Linked DNA regions of Rhinolophus ferrumequinum. The protein of the gene in region 2 purifies or fractionates together with the protein of the main gene of each other region. This does not show direct contact. Links are inferred from orthologs where the notes say so. Each region holds a gene or a part of one and is shown on either strand. Other genes may lie near its edges.

Region 1 (10,746 bases), on a different chromosome or scaffold from region 2:
CTACAAAGACCAAAATATTTACTATTTGCAGACCTCTGTTGTAGAGGAAGGAAAATCTGAGTAAGAAGTTAGCTAGTAGAAAGGAAGAAATATTTCCAGACAAAGAAGACAGCTTGGACATATGAGTGAGAACCAACAGAGTATGTGAAAAATAGTAAAATTATTATATACCAAATAATATATCATGCTTTGTTCTTGCCTTTTTGAGCCAATCAGTAATACCATTTTATTCCAGAAGATGGCTCCCTTTATTATCCCAAAATTTTATTATGAAAAAATTTCCTACAAAAAATTTGAAAGAATTTTATAGTGACCACTCACAAACTCATCACTTTGATTCTCTTATCAACATTTTATTATGCTTGTTTCATCACATATGTATCCCTCCACCCATCTTATTTTTTGATGTATCAGTATACCTCCTCCTATATAATTAAGCATATATTTCATTAGTTGGTGCTCACTCAATATTTACTTACAATTTCCTTTATTAAAATAAAATTGACATACAATAAAATCCTCAAATTTAAACAAACATTTCCTGAGTTTTGACAAACTGTGTATTAACTCTAAACCCATAAATATATAGAACATTACCATTAACACAGAAAGTTCTCTTATATCCCTTCCCATTCAATCCTTCCCCTCCCACGCAGAAGCAACCACTGGTCTGGAGTAAAGTTGCTTTAAACATTCTGGGATAAAGTTTATTTTTGCTTTAAAAATTTTTTTTTATTAAAAAATAATACAGGTGGGCGGCCAGTGGCTTAGTTGGTTAGAGCACAGTGCTCATAACACCAAGGTCACCAGTTTGATTCCCACATGGGCCAGTGAGCTTCGCCCTCCACAACTAGATTGAAAAACGAAAAAAAAACGACGACTTGACTTGGAACTGATGGGTCCTGGAAAAAACACATTGTTCTCCAATATAAAAATAAAAATAATTTAAAAATATAATAATACAGGTGGTACGTACTCTTCCTATTTTACAGGAATGAATTGTGAGACTTAAATCTTTTCAATCCAAAGCAATTGTTTGAAACTTTTTATCATGGAAAAGTAATTAAAAGCGTATGTAACAATACAGAGATTATTTTAATGAACCCTCCTACCCAACACCCAGCTTCAGCTATTATTCACTCCTGGTCAATCTATTTTTAATCCATGCCCTTACCTACTGGACCCTCCCTCACATTACTCTAAGGCAAATCCCAGCCATCATGCTATTTCATCTGTAAATATTTAGTATATATCTGGAGATAAAAACTTTTTAAATCAAACATAATCACAGTACAATTACAACACTTAAAGTATATGTTAATATTAAAACTCCAGTCAGTATTTAAATTACCCCATGGTCTGTCCAGCTTGTTTGTTCAAATTGAGCCTCAAGTGAGATTCATATGTTTTAATTGGTTGAGGAGGCTCTTAAATTTCTTTTAATCTATAGGCAGAGCCATCTTCAAGTTGTGCAACTGGTGTATTCACGAAGGGCCCGCGCTCAGGAGCATCCCATACTTGGGGTTTAATGCTCTGCAGTTATTGTCTTGAAAGTCTTAATAATTTTGTCTTTGAATTTGTGTTTTGTTAAGTGTAGTACAGTGGGATAATAGAGCATGTGCCCTGAGCATTGGAGACTCAGCTCACATGTCGGCTTACTTCCTGGAACCTCCTCACTTTCTAGGGATGGGTCCTGGAGAGTCGCTGGTTCTACAGTCTGCTGATGCCAGCCTCCGCCTCTCCGTGCCCTCTCTCTAAATCTGGCAGCACCACTGTGCATTCCACAAGTGGCTTGATGCCCATTCCCATCAGGTCTCCAGGTACATAGCACATCCCAGGGTACTGCCAGTTTGCAGTGGGTTGGCAGGAGGACGGTGGAAGGAGATGGCTGGCTATACTTCCCCATCTTTATTAGGGCACAGCATGTTGGTCCAGCTACTCGAAGGAGGGGAACCCTAGAGCTGGTGTGTCTTGCGTGTTTCAGTACACACATCAAGTCCCAGAGCAGATCCCTGAGCACCTATGAGGGCCTGCACAGGCCCTTGCAAATGTCCTCACCTGAGGGAGCATGACGTCAAATAGCAAATGAAAAAAAAAAAACCATGAAAGGTCAAGAGACATATTGCAGAAGAAAGGAAGTAGCTTAACATTTTAATACCTTTAACAGCATCATTTTCCCGCTCTTTGTAAAAAGGACCCCACACTTTCATTTTATACGGAGCCCTGAAAATTATTTATGCAGCTAGTCCTGTCCATAGGTTCTTCTTCTCTCTCTCTCTCTCTCTCTCTCTCTCTCTCTCTCTCTCTCTCTCTCAATCTCTCTCTCCCCCTCCTTACAATTTACATGTTATTGAAGAAATTAAGTCACCCTGTAGATGCCAACTGCATCCCAGTGGAGTCATTTCACATGTCTGTCTGGCCCCTATATTTCATAAATTGGTACTTACATATGACGACTTGATTAGAATTTTGTTATGTATTTTCTTTTAATTATTTTTTATTTCTCAATTGCAGTTGGCATACAATATTATATTAGTTTTAGGTACAGCATAGTGGTTAGACATTTATATAACTTAGGAAGTGATCCCCGCATTAGTACCCACCTGGCACCATACATAGATATTACAATATTATTGACTATATTCCCTATGCTATACTTTACATCCCCATGATTATTTTGTAACTATCAGTTTGTACTACTCAATCCCTTCACCTTTTTCACCCAGCCCCCCCTAGATATTTTTAAAGAATACTTTATAATTTTTAAGAATACTTCGTAATTTTTAATGCTGTATAATTTTTAAACCTGGTAATTTTCTAACCCAGTTACTAGACATTGCTTTCAAAGCCATCCCTGAAGTCAATGCCTGAGAGTCTTAGGATTGATCAGCCTGCTGGGAATTATGGTGGTATATTCTAAAAGAGGCAAGATCCTTCCTACACCTAAGAAGAGAATGTTATTGGAAGAAAACACTCAGAATGCACTTACTTGTTTTCTAGGGGTGGTAAACACAGAGATGTACTTTCCAGATCCTTCTGCGAGCAAGGGCTTGCTGCCCAACAAAGGGCATCGTGGTCAGCTGCATCCTCCAGCTGTCAGCAGGGTCTGGCTCAGCTGCTGAGAACCACCTAACAGGTCGTGACTCTCCGGAGCAACCCACATCTGGTGACTAAGCAAAGTGGGGTTATAAAGAGGGTTGATCATTTGGCCCAACATGGGATACTCTGGCAGGCAATAATTGTTCCAGAGCTCCTGGCAGGGCTGACTGATGTTTAGTTGGTCCTGCAATGTATTTAACTTTTCCTGCCTAATACTGCTTTCTCTTCTCCCCCTTCTTTCACAAAGCCTGAGCCCTCAAGGTGCGGTGTTCAACCTTAGTTGCAGGGGGCGCTGCCCACCATCCCTTGCGGGAGTCAAGGAGTTGAACCAGCAACCTTGTGGTTGAGAGCCCACTGGCCCATGTGGGAATCGAACTGGCAGCCTTCGGAGTCAGGAGCATGGAGCTCCAACCGCCTGAGCCACCGAGCCGGCCCACTCTTATCTGTCGTTTTACAAATGACACCACTATTCACTAAGTCCTGATCTTGACAATTTCCTTACCTCCTGTATTTTCTATTGCTATGTTAATAAGCGATTCCCAAATCATAGTAGTTTAAAACAATAAACATTTATGATCTCACAGTTTCTATGGGTTAGGAATTCAAGAGGGTTTATCTAGGTGGAAATTGGAAGAGTAAGGAACATGTTCTGCCCCCAGAGCTTCTGGAGGGAGCACAGACACTTTGATTCTAGTCCAGTGACAATGATTTCAGACTTCTGGCCTCCAGCATTGAAAGAAAATGCATTTCCGATGTTTTAAGCTACAAAGTTTGTGCTAATTTGGTATAGCAACTATGGGAAATTAATACAGAAGGTGGAGTATGTATAAAAGGTGAAGAAGCAGTGAAGAGAAGAATGGTCTGTTCTCAGGAGGTATATAGAGTTGAGAAGAGCTCCAACTTTAGTTCCAAATTGCTCCATAAATAAATAAGATAATGGAGTACAGCTGAGCCTTTTGTCTATAAAAGAGAATGTGAGGATAAAGTCAGCAAAAATTTATGGATGGTGTTGGAAACTTGTGCTTTACTACACAACGTAAAATGTTTTTAGGAGTTTCTTTATAATTTCTTATTCTAAGAGTGTTTGAGCACAATTTCATTTATGATACACACAATGTTACAAAGGACCATGAAATACTACCTCAAGAATGCCCAACACGAAAGAAGAGTTAAAAGGCTAAAATCCTTAAGACCCAGTTTCCCACTTTAACTATACCGAGCCAGTCAAGCCAAACACAATTTTGAAGGCCAATAAAGCAAAATCTTTCTAAAATGCTTGGAAAGAGTCTATAAATTCTGGGGTTCTGTGGAGCAAACAGAACCAAATTCCTGCAGGTAAATCTTGGCTCCACCCTCTACTTACATCCAGCCGACTCAGAGCTTATAGTAACCAGGACTATTCAGAAAACAAAAAATTATTTTAATGATCAAACATTTGTTTAATCAGCAGTGATTTAAAACAAAGAGTTGGATGAATGTCAGAGTTGAATAAGTTCATCGAGCCATGTAAGGCTGAAGCATTTATCTGCCCATAGTCTATGTAGACAGTATCTTTCTGAAGTACACCAGGTATTCTCAACAGCTGATCACATTTGGTCAGGCTGTCAAATTTCTCCTCTTTGCTTTGCTTTTCAATTCCACCTAGATCTCTGTTAACTCATTCTTAAGACTGGTTCCAGCATAATTGTACAGCTTTCTTAACTTTAATGAGCCACCTTATTGGATTTTCCAAATCTCTTCAACTACCTCCTTACAGAAATTTTATAGGGTAAGGCTGCTTATATAGATAGCATAAATCAATCATATTTCTGTTTCCTAGGATTGACTCTTGCCACTCCCCATTCATCATATGCTGAAGTTTATCTAGCATTACAGAAGGTTAGAGAGATTAAGGCGTTGACCTTCGGGTGGGTCTGATCAGAACTCTCTTTTCCAGGCCTCCAGGCAAGGGCTTTGCCCTTCTTTGTGCAACCACTGGCCCCTGAGCTCCAATAGGAAACAGCCCCGCAGCCTAGCTCTTCCCCTACCGCAGTCGTCGTTCTGCGGTACTAAGGCGCTTACAGCGCTTACGTAACAGGGATTTTGTAAATTGAATGAACCAGTGTATGTAAATGCTTTAGCATTAGTCCTGGCACAGAGAAAGCACTCAATGAATGTTAATTATAATGAATGTAACGCGCCATCACGCACGACTCGATTTGCACGGCTTGGGAAACAGTTCAGATGTCTTTTTTTTTGCAAATGGTGAAACTATTAAAATTCAATGTTTTTGATTGAGGAAATGGGCGAACACGGAGGGCAAAAATGTGATTTTAAGTTTTACCTGAGGGGTATTCGTCTGTGGGTCACTCAACTGTAAGAGGGAGAATTCACATTCCTGCAGCAGGATGATGGCTTTAGGACATTTGACTGTAGGAGAGAGCGACTCCGAAACCAAGCGCCTGCCTCCCTGGGTGACTGTCACTTCCCTCTCACCCCGCAGAGCTTCCGCCGCCTCTTGCAGAATTCCTCCGCAAGAAAGTGGCCGCAGCTAAAACCTAGATAAGTCGCCTGGTAGTTGTGACGTCATCACCAAGCGCCCGGGTTAGAAAAGGGAATTGGGGGCGGAGATTGGCTCCCCAAGGCCTTAGAAGGCCTCTACCCATGATCCTCTCCTCTTCACCATCTTTCCTTCTTTCCGGCAGCCGTAGCCATGAAGTAAGCGGGAGCCCGGCATCCTAATCCGCTTCCATCTTCGGGCAGAACCCCTCTCGGGCGTCCTGGGTATGGCTTCTCATCGTAGACAACCCCTCCTAATGGGCGTTCGCTTTTCGTTACAGGGTCGAGCTGTGCAGTTTCAGTGGGTACAAGATCTACCCCGGACACGGGAGGCGCTACGCCAGGACCGACGGGAAGGTGAAAGGCCGCGTCGGCTAAACGCGTTTTCTACTTTTAAGAGGAAAGACGGGTCTAATTTGGTCTAGGCGGTGTCATTTAACACATCGTTTCGTGGTCCCTGAAAGGCTTGCTTTGGGGACCCTGTGTGTAGTGGTTGTAAGGATCAGAAACCTCTAAGTGAGCCATTCTTGATCTTTGATCTAGTGTGAGTCAGGTCGAAAATTAGTAGGAGTTTGTGTAACTAATGTCCCGGAGTGAGGGAAATGGGCCACCGAGGTATCTGGGCACCCACCAGGTCCTCTTGGAATCCCGGAAGGAACAGGAACTAGCTGCCTCCCAGAATTTGACCCTCCCCTGCGACATGAGTTTAGCTCTGTCTGTTCTTGAGAAAAGACAGGACCAAATGCAAAGATCTTGGAGGTGCTACACAGTTAACTGCCAGTTGTGTGACACAAACTATTGGGTCTCTGGGCCTCGATTTTGTAAAAAGCACAGGATAAAACTGGAATATTAATTAGCTAAGGATTTCAAGCTCAGCCTTTTCTATTTTGTATAGTTGAGTAGGTAACTTATATATTTTGAACTTGTCACAACAGGTTTTCCAATTTCTTAATGCAAAATGTGAGTCGGCATTCCTTTCCAAGAGGAATCCTCGACAGATAAACTGGACTGTTCTCTATAGAAGAAAGCACAAAAAAGGACAGTCGGTAAGTAAAATGCACTTTGATGTGGGGCTCTCTCTTAATTTGTTTAAATGCTGACCTTCAGTTGCTGCTCTGTAAAATTGTAACTAAATGAGAGGGTATGTGAATGTGCTCCTAAACTGCAAAGCTTCAGTGAAGTGAAAATGATTGATATTAACAGTGCCTCCTTATACATCTTATTAGGCTTACGGTAAATACCAAGTTGAAATTTGAAAGTGTCCCTTTGTCCAAGTCAGATAAATTAACATAAAGCTCACTTGGGTTACAGGGCACCATGGAAGTGTTTAAGGTGTTACAGTGGGTGGAAACTAAGTAGTTATGGGAACTTGGTTTTGATTATTATGTGTATCGGATTAGTCCTAACACAGATAATCGGTAGAATCTTCCAGCATACTAGTACTCAAGAAGACTGGGTTTGTTTTTGAAGTGCTCTTTTTACTTGACAGAAATTTACGACAAAAAGTTAAGTGCTAAGGCAATAGGGTTAGTATCCAGGAGGCTTGCTGAAGTGTTTAGACTCATGGGTGAAAGACATTACTAGGTATTGTGGGCGTTCAGAGGAAGGAGAAATTTATTTCTAAACTAATTTAAAAGTGGGTTTGACACATCCAATAGGATAGCCATTATCAAAAAAGGGAAATTACAAATGTTGGTGAGGACGTGGAGAAATTGGAACCCTTGTGCATTGTAGCGTTTTAAGATGGTACAGGCACTGTGGAAAAGAGGTTAGCAGTTTCTGAGAAAGTTAAACAGAATTATTGTATGACCCAGCAATTCCATTTCTAAGTACATAACCTAAGAGAATTTTAAGCAGGAACTTACACAGATAATTTGTACACTGATGTTCGTAACACTATTATTCACAATCACCAAAAGGTGGAAACAATCCAAGTGTCCCATCAGTGGAAGAGTGGATAAGAAAATGTGGTATATAAATGGAATGTTTTTCAGTTTTAAAAAGCTGACAGCCAGACAGCTAGCATGGATGAACCTTTTAGATACTAAGTGAAATAAGCCAGACACAAAAGAGCAAACATTGTATGATTCCACTTTTATGAAGTACCTAAAGCAGGCAAATTCATAAGACAAAAAGAGATTACCGGGGTGAGGTGAGGGAAGAAGGAATGGGGAGCTATTATTTAATGGATGCAGAGTTTGGGATGTTGAAAATGTTCTGGAGATGGATAGTGGTGGTGGTTGCACATAATTGTGGGTGTGTTCAATGCCATTGAATTATAAACTTAAAAATGCTTTAAATGGGCTAGTTAATGTTACGTATATTTTACCACGATAAAAAATATTTTAAAAATGGATTTGAGAGAAGGAAAAATATAAACAAGTAAAAGGAGCATTTTAGTTAACCACAAATGTGCCCTATTTTCTCTATATAGTCTGTTTAAAATTTTAAAGATATTTGGCATTATCCCTGCTTTAGAAAACAGTTCTTCACATACATTTTAATTTTTCTTGGACTAAGCAGTGTGCTGCAAGGTCTTTTTTCTCAGAAGCACTGTAGTGTAGGTTTCCAGTATAAAATCTGCAGCAAATGGTTGGATTGTACTGTCTTGATTCCCTGACGCTTGGTGGCTTTCCTGTCACCAGCGTAGAAAATACGTGATTTTCTAACTTGACTATTTCTACCAGTGATCATACTTTGAGTAAAAACAAAACAAGTGAGTTGAGGTTTGATCTTTTTTTCCCAAAAGTAACTTCTTTAAATGGTCTTACTAAAATCACTTTTAAAGTACTAGCCAATTAACTTCCTCAGAGTTTAACTTTCTGTCTCTTTAAAGTAGTAAAAAATGGCCAGGATTTACAATAGATGGCTTAACCAATCCATAATACAAAGGCCAAGAGAGGGTTCCCCTGTCCCCATATGTGATGATTTAGCTATAGCAGGAAGAGGGTTTTCACCTGACAGTGCTGGTACCCTGACTTCCACCCTCCAGAACATGAGAAATAAATGTCCATTGTTTGTATGCTTCTCAGTCTGGTATTTTGTTACAGCAGCGCAAATGGACTAGGACAAATATTAATCGTAAAAGACTTCACATCCCCTGCCTTAAAAACTTACTCATTTCTCCCCCAAATTCATGAAGCAAGGTTCATAAGTGTGCTCCCTATTTTTTTGTTTTGTAGGAAGAAATTCAAAAGAAAAGAACCCGCCGAGCAGTCAAATTCCAGAGGGCCATCACTGGTGCGTCTCTTGCTGATATAATGGCCAAGAGAAATCAGAAACCTGAAGTTAGGAAGGCTCAGCGAGAACAAGCTATCAGGTGAGGGAGCCTTCATTGTCAGCATTATTTAGGTTTAATATCAAGTTTATGACATAGTCTAAATGATTTGAAATTTCTATATGCAGTTAAAACTATGCAATTTCTATGTTATGCTGACTTGGTGGTTAATGACATTTGGTGACAAACCCTTTGGATTTATCCTAAAAATTGGAGATGGGAAAGGAATATGATAATTCCATTTTTCCAAACACTCTAGCTCCTTGTTAATAAGCTGTACCCTTAAGGAGTAAAGTGCTTTACCTTAAGTTATTTTTAATCCTACAGGGCTGCCAAGGAAGCAAAAAAGGCTAAGCAAGCATCTAAAAAGACAGCAATGGCTGCTGCTAAGGTAATTGTGGGATTGTCTTGGATTTCATATTTAGAACAACAGGAAAGGGGTTTTTTTAAATCCAAATTGTGGTAAATGAAAGTTTCAAGTTTTTAAAGAATTTGGTGCAGGGCTCTAATGGAAATAATGTTCATAGCTGGTTTCTGGGTGTTTTGTTTCTTAAAGTTTATTTTGAAATAATTTGTTGTCTCCTTAGCTCATCCAGTCTATGACAGTATCTTTGTCTTTCATTTATATTTCATAGAAAGGTGGACTTTTAACTTTGGGGGAGGGTTCTTAAGAGTAATATTGGGAATGCCATTAAATAGGAAAGCAATCTAGGGTACATGCAGAATTTGGACATACGGGAGGGTAATCGGTTAAAGAAGAAAGTTGCATGGGAAAATACCACATAATGTGTTATCTTTTTACAGGCTCCCACAAAGGCAGCACCTAAGCAAAAGATTGTGAAGCCTGTGAAGGTTTCTGCTCCCCGAGTTGGTGGAAAACGCTAAGTTGGCAGATGAAAATGTTAAATAAAGATCTGACTATAACTAGATTGTGGCAGAATTTTGTAAAAGAGTTCCTTTCTCTGGAGTAAGACCTCCCTAATGTAAGCCTCTTAGTTGGAGAGATGTTAAGCAAAATGATGTCAACAAGCTCTGTATGGTTAAATGCAAGCTTTGCTTATCTGAGATGTAAGGGCATGTTACACAGACTACACTGTCTTAACTTTTTGGTTATAGCTGTAAGTACTAGGGTGCCATGTAGATTTAGTCTAGGTTGATTGCTAAAGAGGCACTTTTCCCTATAACTTGTGTCCGCAGAAAGTAAACCTTTTTAATGAATTATTTTCTTAAGTTATCCTTTTCCTTCAGTAGACACATTTATATTATATTGGATTTGCCTTTGTTCGCTGGTATCTCAATCTCTTATTAGCTAATAGCTGAGTTATAAGTGCTTAAAACTATCAGCTATATTAATCTGCTCTTGATTTCAGATTAAGTTGACGTGAAGAGCACAACTTCTTGAGTAGAATGTACTTAAAAATTCCCAAAGCAGTTTGTTGAACTTGGCGTTTGGCAGCGCTGTAGTTGAAATTGTAAACATGTCTGAGTCGCCTGCTGATGTTCAAGAGGCATATATATATATAATGTGATACGGAAAATAGTAGTCATAATTTGTTAAAAATAGGCTTGGCTTCTACAGAAAGTAGGTCATTGCTACATGCAAGGATACAACAGCGAACAAGCCACATCCTCTTGAGAAACATGCTTTTTCACATACAGGAATACTAGGTGAAGGCAAAACAGACATCAACTCTTCCTCCCACCTCTGTTCTATCCAAGGTGATGAAATTGATTATTCTTTATAGTGCTTGTTAAATTCAGGCATTGTTTTAGGTGTTGATAGTAACAAATCAATGAAACAGACCCTTTGGGGAAACTTAAGTTAAACAGAT
Region 2 (10,843 bases):
AGAGTACAAGTTAAATTATCACTGAAGGAAACAATTAGAGAAATCCAATGGAAGGCACTCTACAGGATAACCGGTCTGGTCTCTTTAAAAACTCACTATTATAAAAACAAAACACACAATTTTTAAGAGGTAGAGGCACTGTTCCAGATCAAGAAAGATTAAAAAAATCATAATAAGCAAATGCTATTTGTCAATTTTGACTGGACCCAAATTACAAAAAAGAAGTTATAAAAGATATTTTGAGCACAAATTGAGAAATTTGAGTATCAATGGAATATTAGATGCTATTAAAATTATTATTCATTTTCTAAAGGTGTGATCATGGTATTAGGGTTTTATGTAAGAAAATATCCTTATTTTTATAATATGTATACCAAAATATTCAGGGGAGACATGTCATGCCTCTGCAATTTTCAAATGGCTCAGCAATAAAACAAAAAGAGTAGGCAAATATATACACACACATATACATATATAAAATCACAAACACAATAAAGCAAAAATGTTAAAAAACGGTTGAATCTAACTAGTAGATATATGGGTGGTCATGGTACCTCTCAACGTTTATGCATGTTTGGAAATGTAATTATAAAAAGTTGGCAAAAATTACTTATCTTTTAACTCCTGTTATATAAGAAAAAATTAACTCACTTTCAATCATATTAATTTTCTGATCTGAAATAAAGTCACATACATATAAAAAATATTCAATCCATATCGAAGGGTATGTGATAAAAAGTATGTCTTCCTTCTCATCCTATATTCCTTTACCCCTCCCCAGAGAAGGAGTGCAAGATCCTTATTTAAAAACCCAAATAGTTAACACAGATTGATTATCTCTTATGATCTAAGTGGTTCTATACATGTTAAATGGATTAGTTTATTTAATCCTCAAAACAGCTCTGTGAGGCAGGCATTATTTTTATTGTCATTTAACAAATAAAGAAAATGGACTTGCAAGTTCACAGAGCAGGTAAGTGGCAGAGCAGTGATTTGAACCCAGGCCAGAAGGTAGCAGAGCTGGGCTTCAAACCACGGCTCTTCCCTGCCCCCGAGAGCATGCGTTGTGCAGTGACTTATAGTAGCTTGTGGATATTCTTCCAGGCCCATATCTTAGGTGTACTGTATTCACTTGAATGGCATGGATGAGATTCTTCTATAAAACGGACCAGTTAAACTAGTCCACTACTGATAGATACTTAGGTTGTTCAATCTTTTTCTATTTTAAACAACGCTTCTATAACCTTACGAAGATTTCTTTGGTCATATAGATGAGTATAACTGTAAGATATTCCCCCAAAATGGAATTGCTGAATCAAAGATTATGTATACTTTTAAATTCTGATAAACACTACCATATTGCTCACCAAAAAATAAAATTAACTTATTCTCTCAGCAAAAGTGTATCATAAGTGCCTTTTCCCCACAGATCTTATCAGATCTTTGCAAATCTAGTAGGCAAAAAAAAAAAAGCTAAAAAAAACACCCAACTCATTTCTATTTTTTTAATTATGAATAAGTTAGGCATCTTTCTGATGTTCATAACTCTTTCTTTTGTTTTTCTATGAACTGCCTTTGTGGGCCACTATAGAAAACAAGGTTATGTAAAAATCAAAGAGCGTTTACCAGTGGAGAAAGCACAGCCACTCCATGGAAGCGAATAAGTGAGATGCTTTCAGACTGGACAGGTAAAAAGCTCTCAGTGGACAGTGATGCTTCTTGGATTCTGGCAAGACTCTTCTCACAGAACTTCTCATATTCCTCCATCTTCCCACGACCACACTACAAAAGAGAAGAATGTCATTTTGAATGTGCTGAGTAAAATACATCTTAATTATTTGGCCAATTGTATAGAGCACTGAAATATTCCTAGAATTCACGACTCCTAGAACTGGCCCTCCCAGAATTTTTTCACTGATCAGGAGCTAAATCTTGAGTCTAAGGTAAAACATAGGTCACGATCCTCCCCAGTTGAAGCTTGCTTCCAGATAGTAAACATTTTTGAACACTTGCATGTAAATCAATCTTTGAATGTGATTAGTTTAGAAAAGTACTAAGAACTCACTCACCAATGAACTCTACTTTAAAAACACAAAGTTCTATACCACTTTCCTAACTTTAGATTACAAAATAGAATACATTTTCTTAAGCAGGACTTATCTACACAGCACAAGAAAAACTAAATTATAGAAAGGTAGAAATGCTTTTCTACAAAAAAAAAAAAAGACAAAAGGGTTATTTAAATAAAAGAGCATATTTATTTTTTAAAATTCTTTTTCTGTCATGGAGTTCAAAGTCTATTACTTGCATATCTAAAAAACATAGTATGACTCCATGGTCACTGGCCAAATCAGTCAGCAGTGGAAAACAGAAAATCTATAGGCTCTCATAATAATTCTAGTTGATCATTGAAAATTGAAACCATTGCCAAACTACTTAAAACAATCAACCCTGTAACTTCACAATTTCTGGAAAAGTGTAATGGTGGCTATGAAAATACAAGGGAACCAGGAAGGATTAGCCACCATATTCATTCAGCTAGCAAGCATTAAATATTTGATTGCCTGTTTCCATAGCATTATGTCTGGCATTGTTTCCTTTAAATAAGCAAGGGAAAATAAAAAGGGAGTCATCATCAGACTCATAACCAACAAGGGAATGAACTGTGAGGACAGAAAAACTAATACAGTAATGTATCTTTCAGTGTTCATTTTAAAACAATTAATTAATTAACAAAAGACAGAGGGCAGGGAGATTCAATTCATGATGTAGGATATGCAAAGATGAAATAAGAGAGAATATGATACTGTCCTAAGCCTCCAGGTACTTAAAAATTCAGTACACTGAAGTGCCAGGGACAAATTATAATACAATTAGAAATGAAGAAAAAGCATATGAAAATTATGATTAGATTGACCAACTGGTAGTCTTAATAACTTCTTCCTACCATCCCATCAATTCTAAATATTTCCATATTCAAATTATGCAAAGTGAGCGTTTAATTCACAGAAATGTCACCATAGCAAGGCCTCCATTTTCAGTCTAGAGTCCAACCTACATTATGATTACGATTATCTTAACAATCACAATATGCAGAAGCTAAGACGTAAGAGAAATTCAAACGACCCCATTTTGATTAAAATACTTCCAAATATTTTTTACCACAATCCATGCATCCAGCATTTTACGGCACATAAATAGATTACTCATACAATTAATGTTAATAGACTTCCTATGGCTACACAAACAAAGAATGAAATTCTATTTTAAAGGTCTGGGAAATTTAAGGAAACAAAGTATCTTTACAATAGTTTCAGTTTTCTTTCAACAATGTCACATAGATATGCCTCATTGCTTCAGAAAGTTAAATTCATATCCCTTAAACAGTACATGTATGTCATACATACTGCAGGTGGACCGTAATTTATTATTATTTCAGCATAACTTGTGGCATCTGCTATTGCATGAAATATCCAAATACAAGTGCTAATATGCTGACTATGGAAATTACCAAATGATCCTAGAAGAGCATGACTGGATCCTTCTTATCCTTCAGCCTCAGCTTGTTGGTCCCCCATCTAAATTAACCCTGCATCAGTCACGACCACATTATACTGCTTCTTACCAATTTCCACAGCACTTACCACTATCTGAAATTATCTTGTTTGTTGCCTTGGTTTTTGTCTGCCTTTCTCCAGTGAAACACGAGCTCCATAAGCACAGGTGCTTTCTCACTCTTGCTCACCACTGAATCCCCATGACACAGGAACAGCGCCAGCACTCAGTAGCACTTGATAAAAGTATTGAACAAATACATCAGGGTAGTTAGCTCAAAGAATAATGCAAACCAGGAAAAAGATGAACAGCGATCGACTAGATAGCAAGGCAGCTAGCAAGGAAGAGTGGTAGTTTCATGGATGACCCTATTCTCACAGAAACTGGCACCTCTGAACTGCAAAGGCAGCCACTTACAAAGTGAGCATCCATAGCCTGCACGATTGAGCAAGAGGGAGCCGCCTTTCTCACAATACAATCACCTCTGTCAGCAGGATTTTATTTTTAGGGAGCCCTGACTACACGGCCACACCAACCACAAATCTACTGCCCCATACTTGACCATCAGGCATTACCGGCTCACGTGCATTAATAATTTGTCAGCTGCATCAAGTTCAGACATGCCTCGTCTTTCCCATTTATACCATGACCCTTCTCCAAGTAAGCCTCTTTGCAAACCCCTTCGACTCATGGCCCTGCGCCTGCGCCCTGTTCCTCACCAGTGCTTTACGAGTCACATCACTGAAGGGAATGGTAAAAGTAACACAGAACAGATCTTGCCTTGTTTAGAGATTCTAGATGGTTGGTTACCCATCCGTCCTCCCAAAGACATAAACCTCTTGCAGAGGCCATACAGGGGAAGGTTTCTTATCCAGGCACACACTCGCTGTAAGTTCTTGGCAATTCACTTACCATCTCTATGCCTCAGTCTCCTCATCTGTAAAATAGGGATAATCTCATCTGTCTCAAAGAGATCCTGTGAGGATTCAAGAAACTAACACACGGATGGCAATTAGTATACTGCAGGACATGCAGAAAGCATCAATAAAAGGGGGGGGGCTGCTTTTATTATGCAGATGATGATGGTGATAATGATGATGATGGTGGCTTATCACTAAATTATGAACTCCTGGAGGGCAGTGAACAGTGCGTGGTTCCTGGTAAGATTCAAACTTAACTGTAAAACATGGAAAGGGGGACAACAGCGTCCTCATTTCTTATTTTTCCAGACCCCTTCCCATTGAATCAATCTCTAGCACCTGTCATTTGCCTCAACGCGGGGGGTAGGGAACTTGGATCAAAACCAGAGAGAAGCAAAGATTGGGAACCACGTAGCAGCATGAGAGGCAATCAAGATAATTTGCTTTATTATCCTCATGCTTCTGCCCCCAGAGAGTCGCGAAGGCAGAGTAAACAGCGCTCCGAGGGCCTCCGGTTGTGGTAACCCGCGTGCAGAAATGGCCAGTACACACCCTGGGGACGCCTCCCTCGCCAGCCTCGTGGCCCGGTGATTTAAATAGGCCCAGTTTTATCAAAAGGAGACAGGCTCGGGCCGGAGTTTATGTACCCGGGACCCTCACGCCAGCGCCCCACATCCACCTCCCCCAGCTCCTTGGATAAGGCTCCATCCCTAGGGCCCACCAGGCGGTGGTGCCACCATCCGAGCATCACCTCCGCGCTGGGTGCCACGGGCACCGGGGCCCCCGCCTCCCCACACCGGCGCCTTTCCAGGGGCTCGAGGCCCGGGAGCCCAGCATTGGCGCTCGGGTTCCGTACGGAGCCCGCCCTCAGCTCCTCAGGGCGCCAGGTCCGCCTCGCCCGGTGGCGGGACCCTCGGAGTCAAAGCCCCTCCTCACGCACACACCTGATCTCCTACGGCTGGGTCAGCTTTCCTCCCCTCACCACAGGCCTTGTCAGGAAGCAAATGGCTCAACTGGTACTGACAGAGAGCAGCTCGGTCCACCGCCGCCGCCTCCTCCTCCTCCCCGCCATATTACGGGTCTCAGGCGGCAACGCGGGCTCCTGGCAACCGCCGCCGCCGCCCAGACTCCACCTCTCAGGGTGGGCACTTCCGGTGGTTGCTTCCCGGGCCGTTGAAACCGTTGGGCCACCAGAAAACTACAGTCCCCGAGGTGCATTGCGCGCCTGGGTAAGGCTCCTAGGCCAGTGATGAAGGGCGTGGTACTTACGGGAAGCGCGGTGCGCGCCGGGAAACGTAGTCTTCACTGCGAGCTAGCGCCTCTACCGTTACAAATGATATAGTGACACCTTTCATTTTGTAACTTGACTTTACGCTCTGCCTCTCTTATTGACGCTCCTTCCCGTGCCTATTTTTGCATATGTAAAATGAGAGTTTTAAAAGTGACTGTCACAAGGGTGGTTATGAGGAGCAGCAGATAATTCTCGCCCAATAACTGGCTCGTAAGCCCCATGACCAGCCCTTGGCAGGACGTAAGGTTAGGAGGAGAAGTAGCAGTGGAAAAGTCACTGGCCTAAAACTGGGGTGGCTTGAGTCAGTCTTAACTCTGCCATTAATGGCTCAATTCGCTTCACCTCTCCTGGCCTCAGTTTCCTCATTTGCACAAGGAGGGAATCATTCAAATGCCTTCCAGCTTTATAATCTGGTTTTCGCTCATTTTGCTATGCCCTTTCGTTCCCTCAGTCTGAAAAACCCTCCTAAAAATCAACTGAATTCAGTCTCCTGAGATAATACCTACCCACTGAGGCTGTTGTGAAGATAATACCTACCCACTGAAGCGTTCGCTGGCACAGAACCTGGGACATGGTAGGTGCTCTATGAATGTTAGCTGTACCCCCGAACACAATTATTTTCCCCCACGATTACGTAAGCCCCGCAAGAGTAGGAACCCTGTAGATCCTGTTCACTGCTGGGCGGTGTCCTCGAAGGCAGACTGAAGGAGTCACTAAGATCCCATCCAGTCCTACGACTATACAACAGCTCTCGTATCCCTCCCCTTCCGGAGTCTGAAAGCTCAGGTTGAAGTCCAGATCCCAGAGTAACCCAAAAGCCACTTTTGGACTTTTGGAATGCGGGCCTGGGGCCTGGGGCCTGGGGCCTGGGGCCTGGGGCCTGGGGCCTGGGGCCTGGGGCCTGGGGCCTGGGGCCTGGGGCCTGGGGCCTGGGGCCTGGGGCCTGGGGCCTGGGGCCTGGGGCCTGGGGCCTGGGGCCTGGGGCCTGGGGCCTGGGGCCGCCTCCGTTGCCATGGCAGTGGCTCCGCCCCCGTCCTCGCAGATCCCGGGCCCTGATTGGCTGGACTCCCAGCCCCTTCCAGGGATGTGGCCGCCGCCGCCGCCATTGTGAGGCGCTAGTCCCTTTGAAGGGTGTCCCCTGCGGCGAGTGCCTTGGGCTCTCGCCCTCGCTTCTCGTTCTCCTGTCCCAGGAGCCCGGCGGGTCCGGGACTCCCGTCCGTGCCGGTGCGGGCGCCGGCATGTGGCTGTGGGAGGAACAGGGGGGCCTCCTGGGCCCTTTCTCCTTCCTGCTGCTGCTGTTTCTGCTGGTGACACGTAGCCCCTTCAATGCCTGCCTCTTCACCGGCAGCCTCTACCTTCTGCTCCGTCTCTTCAGCTTTGAGCCTGTGCCCCCCCGCAGGGCCCTGCAGGTGCTCAAGCCCCGGGACCGCGTTGCCGCCATCGCCCACCGCGGCGGCAGCCACGACGCGCCCGAAAACACGCTGGCGGCCATTCGGCAGGTGAGCCCCCCCCCCCCCCTGCTTCCTCCCCATACCCCCATCTCTCCCCCCTCGCGCCCCTCCGCCGCTCCTGGGAGTTTGGACTTCTGCTTGCCCTTCCCAAGCTTCCCCAGTCTTCTCACGACAGCCTTCCCAGTACCCCATTCGTCCGCCAGGAAGACATTCAAGTGGCCCAACATCCCTCTGAAGTCTGGAAAGTCTTCAAGAATTTGTAGAACAGCAGCAAATATTGACATGTTTGCTATGTGCCAGGCACCGCGGACACACGAACAAGTCCGTAAGGGCCCCGCTTTCACAGAGCTTGCCTTGCAGTGGGAGAGACAGGCCTTAAACGAGGAAACCCATAAATGAGACACTTGAAGAGAGCGAAAAGCGCAAAAAAGAAATAGGGTAATGGTACAAGGAATGACCCAGAGGAGGAGTTAAGCTGTTTTAGACAGTCATCAGAGACGTCCTCTTGAAGAGAAGAACGTGCGAACTGAAATCGAGATTATGAGAAAGACCCAGACAGGGATCTGGGGGGAAGGCGTCCCCGGAAAAGGGAACAGCAAGAGCGAAAGTCCTGAAGTGGGAAGGGTGTTGGAATATTCAGGTGACAGAATAGGCAGTTCTGTGGCCTGACTTCAAGGAATAAAATGAAGGCTGGTGTGGGAGTGAAGGAAGAAACGTGGCCAGGCTAAGCAGAGGCTTGATCAGTGGTTGAGTTCACGCTAAATGGATCCCCTCCCCAGGAGCAGCCGTTGCCCACGTCATCTCCTTATCACCTTTTCCCCCAAACACACTGACACTCAGACAACCATGTCAGCGGGACTCCTGATGAATTTTTGCCTCCCCTTTTCACAGGGCTCTCCTGGCAGTCTCGCAGCTTCACAATAATAATACAATAATAATGACAGCTTACATAGCAAGAGAGCTTTTGCGTTGTCTAGGTTCTTTTGCATCTGAGGAAATAGATCTGGTCCTCTCGTTTCTTTGAGACATTATTTTAACATTGAATGGGTAGGAAAACTGACTCAAATACATGGCTCCTTGAATTCAGCCTTCTGATTCCAAGCCCCAATCCACGTTGTCATAGATTAGAATTGTTCCAGGATGGGAAAACGTGGGCTGAGTATCCTTTATTTGTCCAGCTAGGGACAGACAATGTTGTATAAGGAGCAAGTTACTTAAGTTGTGTGTGTCCCAGTTAGAGTCATGACTAGGGTATGGCAGGCCAGGCACCTTAGGACACCTCCCTTCACTCTAGTCCTAGCCCTGACCTCAATTGCCCCATCTGTACAATGGGAATACTATTGGCATCCACTTAGTAGGTTGTGATTCAGTGAGACAGTCGACACAAAGTGCTTGGCCCATGATGAGACTTCCATTCATGTAAGATCTTTAGGCCAAGAATCTAAAGATGGCTTGATCCTTTAAAATCATCTCCGAGTAAAGGTTAAAAAAAATAAGTGAAGAAGGAAGGGAGTCTGGAAGGCAGCCTGTAATTTACTGGAGCGCACTTCACTCTGTGTTTATAAACCAAGTTAAACTTCTCTTGTGCTTCTTTCCCCGTGGTTCTTTGCGATGGAAGGGAGGCAGAACAGCTCTTTAAGCCTTCTGTTTAAAAAGAAATCTAAAGATATTGAAGGGTGTATTTTATATTCTAAACTAAAACTCAGAGCGGTCAGATGAAGTAACATAGCTACACAGGAGATAGAATTGTCATGAAAAGAAAGATGACACTATAGGAAAACAACCCAAGAGTTCTACCATTGTCAGAAAGTCTTCCGTGATTTTTCACATCATAGAAAGTTTAAGAATATAAATTATGAGATGCAAACATGCAAAGGGAGAAAGAACAGGACAAAAACCAAACTTTGATGGAAATACACTATATATTTCTTTTGAACTCAAGATGAAGGGAATGGCCTTCTGTAGATAGAGAAGGACTGAGAGATGAAATGAATGTATTCCAAAAGCATACACAATTACGCATAGTGACAGTGATGAAATTTTACCCACAGTCCATTCTCCACACAGGCCAGAGTACCTTTTTAAAGTATAAATCAGATTGTACTATCCTGCCCTTATTTAGAACCCTCCAGTGGTTCTCTGTTGCAGTTAGATAAAATCCAAACACCTTTCTATCTTGTGTCTTTCTCAAACTCCATAATCTGTCTATTCCAACCACCTGGGTGTTTCTTAGAATGCTTTTGGCTTCGTGTAATAGAGAGTTTACTACAAATATCGCAGACAATAATGGGGTTATCCTCTCACATGACAAGTGTGTGTGGGAGAGGTGACTTCCGGGATTGTTTCTTCAGCCATTCAGTTTGTGATCATGGAGGACTCAGGTTTCATGGATCCATCTGCTCTGCCATCTGCAGCATATCTGTACTAGTCCTCTGTGCGGTTGCCAGGTGGCCATTGCACCCCAGGCATCACCTTCTTACACACCAGCATCTAATCTCAAGAAAAGGCTGCACGTCCTCTCCCACGTTTCTTTCCCAGAAGCCTCCGTCACGCACGCACGCAGACAGAGGGATTGGGAGTAGTCCACTTACTCTAAGCCCAGGAGAAACTGAACACTGGGGCAAGGGCCAGTCTCCGCCAGCAGAGAAGAAGGATAGATTTGGGTAGGCAGTCCCCACGTTGTGGCTCCCTCCTCCCTGGTGGCCTTTGTAGCTTAGAAGAAAATATGGGTGTATGTGTTTATAAATGGGGGATAGAAAAAGATTTTAAAAAGATAGAAAACTCTCTACCCGTAAAGAACATTGATAAATTTGATAATCCAGTGTTTCAAAACAACCCAGTACCTAACAATGGCTAATATTTATTGAATGTTTACTGTGCGTTAGTAGAGTGCTGTAGGTTGTTTATAGGCACTTAAGTGTACAGCAGATACACAAAGGCCTCTGGGAAATGATAAGGGAAGGATGCACGTCAACTTTAAGCGGTGAGGAAGGGGGAGAAATTCAGCTGCCTCTGTAGTGTCCATAGTAATGTCACAGTGATTAATAAATAGTGCAGCATCTACCATATCCTTCTTTGTGTAACCCAGAGCAAGTTTCTTTATTTCTGCTTCCTCATCTGAAAATGAGAATGCTCACAGTACCTCCCAAAGTGTTGTGAGGATCAAGTGAGTTAATACATTTAAAGCACTTAGAATAGTGCCTGACACATAGAAAAGGCTCAGTAGATAACAGCTTTCATTATGTTTTTTAAGGCAGCAAGAGATCGAAGCCAGTATGGCCAACAAGGGTTTACATCTGTTAAGTGTTTTTTGCTGTATAAACATGGGTGGCGGCAAAAGTGACAAAACTGAAACTGTCCTACTTTGGACACATCAGAGAAGGCAGGGTTCTTTGGAAAAGACAATAATGCTGGAAAATAGAAGGTAGTAGGAAAAGAGGAAGACCGAATATGAGATGGGCGGAGTCCATAAAAGAAGCCACAGGCAGAGGTCTGCAGGATCTGAGGAGGGCAGTGAGGACGGGACATTGTGGACGTCACTCACTCACAGGGTCACCAGGAGTCAGAGCCGACTCAATGGCACGTAACACACACACTATGCTTGCATAATGTAAAAATTTTGGGGG
Region 3 (10,717 bases), about 11 Mb from region 2:
ATGCTCTGCCCAGCTCTACACACCCTCTCACAGCAGGGATCACTCTGGCTTTGAACCTTGCACGTCCTCTTCTGCTGCTTTTCACTTACCTTCTGGTCCTTGGTGTTTGTGGCTGCCAGAAAGAGGAGCAGCACAGACAGGCCGAGCTGCTGTATTACGCACGCTCACCCAGGCCAGGGACACGCAAACAACATAGAGTCCAAGTGGGACGTACAAGTCAACTCACCTCAAAGAGACTCAGCACTCTCCCCAAACAGTGCAGTATGGACGCTCTGTGAGTCTAAAATAAGGAGAAAGAACTGTGGTTACCAGTGGAGAGAACATTTGATGGCCGCCCCTTCCAGTATGTGTGTCCCATGGCTCCTGACTGCCCCTCTGCACAGAGGCCTGACTGCTTCACGGACCCTCTGTCTTGCCTTCGCAGCTGTCCATATGCCTGCAGTCAAGCCTCTCATCTGATCCCCCTGGCCTCTGGCTCTGAGGCCTCCTCTCCTGCAGGGTCGCTTCTAGACACTCCCACATCCACTCTTGATTTTCTGTGCCTCCACTGCCCTCTGATCCCTGACCTTACATGGTCCGGTGTCTCCCCTCAAAGCTTCCTCACTTCCGGTGACTCTATGGGGCTTAGATTGCGCAGCTCGGCTTGCCCTACATGTGCCCCTAGCCAGGACTCACTCTTTGCAGCTGGCACTCTGCCCTGAGACTCTCATGTACCACGGCCTTGCAGCAGCTTCCAGACACTGACCACGGCGGGCGGATGAAGAGCCAGATGAAAGGCGCAGCGTTGACATTTAGTCGCTCGGCGAGACTGAAGAAGCGAGAAGCCTTTAGGCCGTTCACTTCTGCACGGGCCTCATCAGACACAGACACTGTGGAGATGGACAGAACGGAACCCAGGGATGTCTCTGGAGGACAAATGCGGAAAGTTCTCCACAGTCTTTTGTAAAATCCTATAACCTTAAGCCCACTGCAGTGCAAAGCTGCAGGTGTTTTAGGAGAGACCAATCCTCTAGGACAGGGGCTCCTCCCTTTTCTTTCCCTACTTTGTGAATCACATGCCCCTGCCACGGTCTTCGCAGCAGCCTGGATTTTTAAGGTTGGGAAGGGGCCCTCAATCCTCCCCACTTCTGGGTACTGCTGCCGCCCTCCCTTCTAACAGGTACGGTGTTTCTTTTTGAGGCAATGAGAATTTCCAAAATCAGACAGTGGTGATGGCTGCCTAACTTCATGAATATACTGAAAACCACAGGGTTGTGTACTTTAGATGGCGAGTTGTACGTGTGTGAGTTATGTCTGCGGAAGGGTGGGGGCAGGACTGCTGCTGTCCTGAGCCGAGGAGGAATGCTCATGGTCTCTACCAGTCACGTCACAACAGTCGTGGCAACTGACCACATGCAGGGGCTCGCTCTCAGCAAGACACCCGATTTTTCAGAAGCGGAATAATGGCTCTAGCCAAGCCTTTATGCGTTTTGGGAACTGGGACAGGACAGACCGCAGGCTAGTTTTTTGGTGTGCTAAGCAGATAGGCAGGAATTGGAAGAAAGCCACACGAGATTCTTTCAAGGAGCGCCTGCCCCCTGGGGGTGAAGAAATTCAGGCACCAAGCCGCCTTTGAACTGCTTGTACCTGCCTCCGGCTTGGAGCCTTGGCTACCTGTGTTTTGACACTCCGTGGAATCAGGCACGCTTTGCGCTCCCACGTTCTGCAGAGGAGCTGTGGCAGAGGCGAGAAACCAGAGCCTACACATGGGCTGCTGTGTTAATTGGACAGAGAGCAGGCAGGTGGGGGAAGGCTGCCGGCCCGAGTAGCCCCATTCTGAGTCTCTGCTCAGTCATTCTTTGCCTACTGCAATGAAAGGGTTTATTAAAATAAGAGGTGACTCTCTCCACCTACAAAATCACAGTTCATCGATGGGTTCCTTAACAGGGCGGCTCTAGGCACAAGCCCTCTGGAGGAGACAGTAAGGCAGACCGCCAGACACAGCGACTAAATTACAAACACTGGGAAGGGCTCCTGCTTGTTCTACAATGTTAATACCAAGTGGGGTGAGGCCAGCTCCAGCCTTGCCAGGACTTACAGCCTTCATTATAGAGGTAGGCGATGCCCAGCTTCACAGCAGCTTCAAAATTTCCCCTTTCAGCAGCCCTAGAACATTAAGAACATAAAACATCTCACAATTTCATTCCATAAAGGTTATGTTCCATCTCAGCAATTGAAGCTACTTGTTTTCTGAACAGAAACTTTTCCAGGCAATGCAGCTACATATCATTTATCCATGACATGCTACAACATGGATGAACCTTGAAAACATGCTAAGTGAAAGAAGCTAGCACACAAGGCCCTATGTTGTACGATTCCTTATATGAAATGTCCAGAACAAACAAATCCAGACATAGGAAGCAGGTTAGTGGTTGCCAAAGGTTTGGGGGGTTGCAGGAAAAAGAGGGAGTGACTGCTAATGGGTAGAGTTCATTTTGGGGTAATGAGAATGTTCTAAAGTTAATTAGTATTGATGGCTGCATAACTCTGCACATATTAAAAACCATCGAGTTGCACATTTAAAATGGGTGAACTGTATAGTTTGTGGATGACGTCTCAGGTAGCCTGCCTGGGACCACTGGCACACTTGGACGGTGGGTCTAGTTGCTGGCATACTCGGGCTCATGGGCCTTGAGGCTCATGTCCCCTTTGGCCCTCCCTTTAGGTCCCAATTCTAGCAGGGGGTGGGATCAGCCAAGGGGTGGGATCTGCAATGGGATTTAAATCACAGGATTTTGACCGAAAGAAAAGAGCTGAGTAAAGTTTCCACGTGAAGGTGACCTGCGTTTGAGTCATGCAGAATGGGCTACAGCCCACATGGGACCCTTCAGAAGCACGGCTGTGACTAATGAGTCAGGTCCGTGCCGGTGTGTGGGTGACTGATGACTGTGCTGGAAGTCGTGTGACTCGATGGGTGAGGTCCACAGCCCTCAGTTGCTTCCCAGTTGGGATAAGGGATTGGTGGGGGCTACATAAGGGGAAAATCGTTCCCAGGTCAGCCGTTGGGACACAGGCTGGCATATCAGGGAGGCCCAAAGACGGGACAGAACCAAGCTGTTCTCAGGGTGCAGAGATACCTTTCAAAGAACTTCAGGTTCCTTGGAGAAGGCCACAACTCCTGGAAGCTGGCACATGCCCACACGCTGGCATGGTTGTCTACCAGGTACTTCAGGTGGGAGTGCACCTGCAGAACAGAAGTGGGGTGAGTGGGGAGATTATCAAGGGACCTCTCAGAAGCCCAATTCCTAGATCTCTTGAAGACAAGACGTAGACAGATATAGGGTCTCCTGTTCCCTTACCCACCCCAGTAGTAAAGGCCCCCAGTCTCTGTCTCAAAGTAACAGTTGATTTGAATAAAGAGCCCAGAAACAAGTTTCTTTGTGGCTCTAAAGGTGGGGACAGTGGTTCTGGAAGGGAGAATAGTCCCTAAGCTGAGAAAGAGGGGATGACACCTCTCTTAGGGTATATACGTTCAAGGAAACCAACTCTAACGGAACAGGTATGACAGGAATCTGTTTCCCGTTCCTCTGGCTGGGGCCTTGCTAGTGGGAGCAAGGATGGAGCCTGGAGGTCCACAGGGGCTCTCAGAAAAGACGGGCATGCGTGATGGAAGCTTCAGGTAGGACCTGGAGCCTCTGCCCTGGGCGGGAGCCCTGACCACAGGTGAGCATTTTAAATGCTAACGTTCCCACCGCCACTGAAAATTCAGCACCCATGGATATTATGACCAAAATGGAGGCAGCTTTCCGAGTTGGAGAAGTGGGTTCTTGTTTTCTCACTAATCACTATACGCCCTCAGTTAAGTCAAAGTGAGGCTGCAGCTCTGATATCTGTAAAATACCTCCCAGAGTCCCTTTCAGTGTGGAATGTTACATGGAATTTGTCCTCAAGAGTATACTTTGATTCTTTTTAATACCATCCTATTTCTTTAAAAAAATTTTTAAATTTCTTTTTCATTTACAGTTGAGACACAGTATTATATTAGTTTTAGGTATAATGCTATTTCTTAAGGGATACAAATTTCACTGCCATAAAAGGGTACTTTCTGTTAAACATTACAATGGGTGTGCTACATTTTAGCTTTCCTACAATCAGAACAACCTCAAGCATCTATTAACAGTATCATCCTTGTTTCTTGGCTCTTTTTTGTAGGTAAAGCGCTGTTCTGACATTTAAGAACATGAAGTCTTGATGATGGTATGACCACAATGCTAGGACTGATGAAAATAGGACACACTTTTCATCTGACAACTTACAGCTCGAACAGCAAGAATGTCCCCAACAGAAAGCCATTTCAGGATATGAAAGAGCACATCTTCAGGGAGACTCAAGATGGTTAGGTTTCGGGGTCTCCTTCTTATTCTTCGTTTTGTAGGATAACAGAAACACTTGGCACACCTACAGTGGATCACTTAAGAAAAAAAATCAGAATGGTCTAAGGGATCTGTTGGAAAGGAATTGTACTGATATGAAAAGTTATACCTGAAGATGGTTTAACAGTTACTCTCCTTTGCCCCACAAAAGGAACCAGCCATATTTCTAGTCCCCAACAAAGATGAAATAAAGGAGTAGTAGTATAAGGATTACAGAAGACATCATCATTCATTCAAATATTCAGTAAATATTTATGGTGAATAGCAGAGAATCATGTAATTTGCTATTGGGAAACTTTCTTATCCAGAGCCCCGATGACAACTAGGAAAGGGAAAAAGCAGCCAACACTGATGAGGTTCTCCTGGCATTTCACACTCAGTGAAGCCCCCTAAAACCCAAAGTGGAAGTGATTTTTCTTCCACTTTGCAAACATGACAAAAACGCATAAAGTTCGACGGGAACTGTGGACTTGAACAATCTGGTTTTCCACTTAACTAGGAGGGTCAGCCCTGCAGGGAAGCAAAGGCTGAACTTGAAGGCCAAGCCATTCCCAGCTCTGCGGTGGTTGGAGCTGCCCTGGGTCCTCTGTCCCCGCAGGGGTCTTTTCAACTTCAGCAGCTCCTTCCACATTCTAAGCAGAGGACCTTGAAGCTCCCCAGACCCTCACCTACAGTTTACCTGGTTTTGCACCCGCTCCTCCCTCCGGTCCCTACAGGAGGGGGTTGCTCTCCTCCAAATATGACTCCCCCCTCAGTACTTTCCTCCCCCCACTCCCTGCTCTTCACCTGGGTCTTCGTACCCTCAGTTAACGTGCTGCGAAAGCCAGACCTACAGAGCGACCAGTTCCCACAGATTCCACGAATTTTACCGCAACGCTGTCCTTATTCCCTTGCTCTAGGACAGACACGAAACCTAACCACTGCGCTCACAGCCCACGACAGGTGCCGGGTCCCTCGCGGGGCTTTCACGCGGCGTCGACGGGCATTTAAACCGCGCGCCGGGCGGGCGCCACCGAGATCCCCCGCATCCCGGGCCTAAGGGCTGGAGCCGACCTGCGCAGTCTCGGGTCGCCCTCCCGCCGCCTCCCGCGCCCCGCGCTCACCGCCGCCGCTCCCCATTTCCTCCCGCGCCGCCACTTCAGCCTCAGTCGCCGCCGACTAAGCCGCTTAAGGCGCCCGCGGGCCCTGCGCGCGCCGCCCCACGCAAGCGCAGAGCCGCCCCACCGCCCGCCCTAGTTTTCAAACGCGCCCGAAGCTCCCATTGGCCGGTCTGGGGGGGCGCACGCCGCGGGTCCAGCAGGCCCCGCCCACTGCCCCGCCCTAACCACCGGCTCGGGGCTCACGCTATTGGCCGCGCCAGGACGCGAATTCGAACACCGGTCTTTGATTGGTGGATACCACGGGGATGCCCCGCCTTCCAAACCGGGGTCGGGGGTCTTGGAGGAGCGCGGCTCAGGCTCCGGGGTTGGGGCCTCTTTAGTCCGAGAAGGTCCGCCTGGGCTCGGGCTATTCTGGGCTTGGGCCTTGCCTGTTGACTCGGCGTCAGAGGTCCCTAACATCGGAAGCCACGGCGCGCAGTGGCTTGTCAGTGAAGGTCTGTCGTACCGGCCGCGCCTCCGGGTGCGGCGTCTTGCGGAGGGCGCGGCGCAACTGGACACCCACAAGTACCGTAGGTCAGGGACACCAAGGCGGCCCCTGACTTTCGGCCCTCACTCGGAGGCCGCACGCCCTGCATCCTATCCGTGCTTCAAGCGAGGAGACCCCTTGTTCCGGGCCAACCACTGTTTGCATAGATTGTAATTGTAGAAAGTGGAGTTTGAGACCTGGGCTCGAAATCTTCTTTGATTCAGCCATCACATTTTGCCCGGTCGTCCCGAGGAACGTGGCTTACTCAGGACTCTTACATCGTCTCTGCCCCGGGGCAAGCCCTAACCCTCTCATTTCACCAGCTATCTTCCCAAGTCTGTCCCCAATATCTCCTCCTCAATGCCACCTGGGAGCTCTTCCTAAAAGAGAACTGCGCGCCTGTTTGCTTTACGGGCTGCTGCTGAGCATTCTGTTCATTCAGAGATATCAGGCAATGACTACGCCGCCTGTTTTTCAGGAACCAGCTCACATCCCACCTCTTACGTGAGACATTTTGACAATGAAAGAAATGGAATCTCCTGGGAGAAGTGTTGAGGGAGGACAGAGTGGCTTTTCCTGGAGAAGCGAGGGAATCTGGGTTATGGCTCAAACCCCGCTCCCTTCATCTCTCCTCTGTACTCACTGAACCCCATGGTGCCAATGCTCCATGCCAGTCTGGAGCAAGAGGTGGAGAACTGAGGAGGTGGATGATCACAACGCAGGATGTGAGAGTCTCAGTGGTCCCCAAATGACAAGGGACTAAGGCCCTGGAAGTTGGGGGTGGTGGAGGGGGTAGGGGATTTGTACAGGAAGCTGAGTGAATAGAGCTGAGCATGCTTGGGGCCTGCTCCCTAGATGTCCCACATTCCCACACAAAAGGACTGGAAGAAATCCATGGAAGACCCCTCCGATTTCTCATCCTTCCTCATACCTGTTTCCATTGGTAACTGTTTCCCAATTTGTTGTCTTCTTCCCCTGCCCTCTTGCTTCATTACAGGTCTCCCCCAAGGCAGAAGAGTGCACTCTTTTCAGTGTTAGATTTTGGGAGCAGCTTGGTGGCACTAGTACACTGGATTCACCAGTCAGCAAGTCCGTTGTCATTCACCACTCTAACTCCCCTGTGATACAACGTCAAGGAGTTCAAAACAACATCCCTGGTCACTCACTCGGTTGACTTGTTCTTTATGTCCTCCCTTATCACTCTTATTTATTCAGAGGTAAAGTTTTCTTATTTTTCAGGAAACAGGTGTTCTCGTGGCTATGTTGCAGCTATACCTTCTCTAGCCCCCACCCACTGCCCTGGCAGTAAAAGCCCCTCTGACCCAGCGGGGTGATAAGGGGCCCGTTTCCCACTGGGCTTCAGGAAGGTGGGAGAAGTCACTGGAAAAATCTAGACTTGGGAGCTCAGGGAAGATCCTAGCTGGAACAAGATGGTAGCTGAAGGCCTGGGGGTGAATGTGAAAGGAATTCAGGGGTGTCGGGGGCAGAGGATAGAGTAAGGAACGTGAAGTAGACTGGGAGCCTGAAGAACCCCTCCATTCAGAAAGAAAAGAGGAGCCTTCAGACAAGACAGAGAAGGGGCCACAGAGGGACAGAGCCAAATGCAATGGGGAGAGGCCACGGGAGGGGCTTTCATCAGAAGGCTGCAGGGGATATTGTGAAATGTCACTGAACAGTCACATGGAAAAAGGGAGAAACTAGTGGGTGTGGCAGCCAAGGATGTGACGATGCTGTAATTTTGGGTGAGTGGCAATAGGAGGTAGGAAATGTGGTTAGGGACTTTAGATACCACTTTCCCAGAGCTTGGCTGAGAAGGGAGGGAGAGAACTACCTGGCAAAGGACGAGCTGAGGGGGCTTTTTAGAGGGTCCAGAGTGACCCTGCTGGAGAGAGAAAGGCGACTTGATGGGGCATGTCTCAGGAGTAGAAAAAATCAGAGGAAAGAAAAATACTTTATATAGCAGCAAGTTCCTTTTCACTCTTTATTTCCCAAGCGTAATATATGCTTTAATTTTTAGATACTACTACAATAATATTTTCATTTCCAGAAAAACATTTTTCCGTTGAGGAAAGAAAAATATTTTTTCTCTAGTTAAAGCATCTCTGATGTTGCACATAAGAATCTAAAGGAACAGCATTGTGAATACAGTAAGTATCACTGAATCGCACACTTTAAAATGGCCAATTGTATGTTATGTGAATTTCACTTCTTTCCTTATCTCTGCTACCAGCGTAGTCCAAGTCATGAAATTAAATTGATCTACCAGACAGGAATTGTCATTTACAAAGTAACAGAAGTCCAACTCAACCTAGCTTAAGCCCAAACAAAACAAAAACAAAAACAACAGATGAAGGATTTATTGCTCACATAACTGGAAGTCTAAAATGGAATAACCTATAGAAACAGCTGTCCAAGTGTTCAAATAATGTAATCAGGGAATCAGGGTTTGTCTCTCAATTTTACTTTCCTCTGTGTCCTCTTGTCAAGCAGTCTCTAAACAGGAGCTCTAGGCTTATATAAAAAATACCAGAGAAAATATGTCTCCTTCCAGCAAAACTCCCAAGAAGACTCTGGCTTCGCTTGGTGGCGTGTGGGAGAAGAGCCAGGAAAATGGGGAGAAGGGGTCTGAACCATATGAAATGATTACCCCCCACACACATGTACACATACAAAGATTTCTATTACCAGCAGAAGGGAGGGAAACCTATCTCCTTTGCTGCCCAGAAGAAAAGAAATCCTGTATATAACATTTAAAAACTTCTCTGCCTAATATAATAAACCATCTATGAACAACATAAAACACACTTGCTCCCTCTCCAAAAGAAGATCTAGGTTTGGACGGATTCTGCATCTAGATCAAGGGTAGGCTCTGGGTGATGTGCATTCCTCTGGTCCTGGTCTAGATTTGACTCCCTGGGGTCTGGTACTTGGGGCTCAAAAATGAGAATATGACCACCCAAGTCATCCAACATACATTGGAAGAGGGAGACTGGTTGTATCTGCCATCTTTCACAGCCCTTCACGAGAAGGGAATTGGAGGCGATTGCCCTTCTGAGCTGCAGTGCTGTTGTAGCCCACTTCCTATTGGTATGGTTTTGGGAAGTTATCTTAGGGGTTGAGTAATTACAGTACTTTACTTATTAAACGTTTCCCACCCCTGGAAATAAAATTCCAATAAAATATCAGTCGGCTGCCAGTCGGTTTACATTATGTTGGTTCCCTAGGCTAGGAACTAAAACCAGATATTCTATCCAACCAGAGGACTTACGTCTGCATGGCAGCCGTGGAGTTCTGTCTCTTACCACAGATAAGAGACATGCCCTGAGTTTATTGCTTCTAGAAGCCTTGGCCCGAGTCCCAAAAATAATGTCCACATGAAAACCTGTACATGGATGTTTATAACTGCTTTATTCATAATTGCCAAAAACTTGGAAGCCACCAAGATGTCCTTCAATAGGCGAAAGGATAAATAAACTGGTATATCTAGACAATGAAATATTATTCAACGCTAAAAAGAAATGAGCCATGAAAAGACATGGAAGAAACTTAAATGCATGTTACTAAGTGAAAGAAGCCAGTCTGAAAAGGCTATCCACTGTATGGTTTCAATGATAAGACATTCTAGAAAAGGCAAAACTATGGAGACAGTGAAAGAATCAGTAGTTGCCAAGGGTTGTTGGGGAGGGAAGGATAAAGTAGAGCGTGGGAGTTTTAGGGCAGTGAAACTATTGTGTATGATACTATAATGGATACATATCAGTACATGTTTGTCAAAACCCACTGAATGTACAACACTAGTAGTGAACCCTATTGTAAGCTATAAACGTTGGGGAATAGTGATGTGTCCATGTCACAACGGATTGTAACAAATGCACCGCTCTGGTGCAGGATGTTGATCATAGGACAGGCTGTGCATATCAGGTGGCGAGGGGTATATGGAAAACCTCTGTCCCTTCCCCTCAATTCTTCTGTGAACCTAAAACTGCTCTAAAAACTAAAGTCTATTTTTAAAAAATTATGTTGACAAGAGTAAAATCATAATCCTAAACCCTTTCACTATTAAATTACAATTTAGAAACCCACATAAATTAAAAATCAATTATGTATATGGGTGATTTTTGTTTTTTATTACACAGACCATCACTGGATAAACTGGTTCAGGAAACTAGCTCTGTGCAGTTACACAGCTGTAAGAACTTCTTATGGTCACTAGCATCGCTAGCAACCACTATTAGGGATATTAAGGATGCAAATGATACTTCAAAACTATCATTCGCATGACAGGAAAGAAAAGCGGTACCTCCTAAGTAAAAGCTACATATGATCAAATACTCAGTTTATGTAGCTACATGTTCACAGGTATTTCTAAAATACCACGGTTGAGATTCTGGCAAGAAAAGGACCGTTGTTACGATACATGTGATGACCTCCAGTCTACGACAACACTTTTCCATTGAAAGAATTGTTTCTGTAATAAGTTTTCTTAACTCTAAATTTCTTAGCAACACATGGTTTTATAGCAGAAAGTTTGAATTAGAAAAGGGAAAAGAAGGACTGCTAAGTAGGGAAATAAAATTCCTAAAATAAATAATTCACTAGTACATTGAGTCAACACAAAAAGGGAGCCAACAGAGTGACAGATTAATTAAGAATAACTAATGATGCATAGAAACTTAACC

Evidence for each region.
Region 1: the proteins of CCP110 (region 2) and CEP97 purify together in Homo sapiens (co-immunoprecipitation; 10 studies listed by BioGRID and IntAct, with this or other methods). This does not show direct contact. The link is inferred for Rhinolophus ferrumequinum from reciprocal best matches to the Homo sapiens genes CCP110 and CEP97.
Region 3: the proteins of CCP110 (region 2) and CCNF purify together in Homo sapiens (affinity purification with western blotting; 7 studies listed by BioGRID and IntAct, with this or other methods). This does not show direct contact. The link is inferred for Rhinolophus ferrumequinum from reciprocal best matches to the Homo sapiens genes CCP110 and CCNF.

What each region holds. Positions count from the first base shown.
Region 1 is NC_046285.1:30,663,635-30,674,380, reverse strand, and holds the start of CEP97 (centrosomal protein of 97 kDa), read right to left. Parts: upstream 5,607-10,746; 5' UTR 5,423-5,606; intron 3,171-5,422; 5' UTR 2,990-3,170; intron 1-2,989. Other genes in the region: RPL24 (60S ribosomal protein L24), read left to right, coding at 5,792-5,796, 5,919-5,994, 6,573-6,683, 8,820-8,956, 9,242-9,305, 9,719-9,799. UniProt on the Homo sapiens protein: Acts as a key negative regulator of ciliogenesis in collaboration with CCP110 by capping the mother centriole thereby preventing cilia formation. Required for recruitment of CCP110 to the centrosome.
Region 2 is NW_022680357.1:15,413,761-15,424,603, reverse strand, and holds the start of CCP110 (centriolar coiled-coil protein of 110 kDa), read right to left. Parts: upstream 5,649-10,843; 5' UTR 5,420-5,648; intron 4,550-5,419; 5' UTR 4,468-4,549; intron 3,791-4,467; 5' UTR 3,645-3,790; intron 1,783-3,644; 5' UTR 1,768-1,782; coding exon 1,627-1,767; intron 1-1,626. Other genes in the region: GDE1 (glycerophosphodiester phosphodiesterase 1), read left to right, coding at 7,005-7,265.
Region 3 is NW_022680357.1:4,050,975-4,061,691, reverse strand, and holds the start of CCNF (cyclin-F), read right to left. Parts: upstream 5,607-10,717; 5' UTR 5,532-5,606; coding exon 5,516-5,531; intron 4,451-5,515; coding exon 4,296-4,450; intron 3,224-4,295; coding exon 3,117-3,223; intron 2,146-3,116; coding exon 2,078-2,145; intron 870-2,077; coding exon 676-869; intron 281-675; coding exon 227-280; intron 1-226. UniProt on the Homo sapiens protein: Substrate recognition component of a SCF (SKP1-CUL1-F-box protein) E3 ubiquitin-protein ligase complex which mediates the ubiquitination and subsequent proteasomal degradation of target proteins.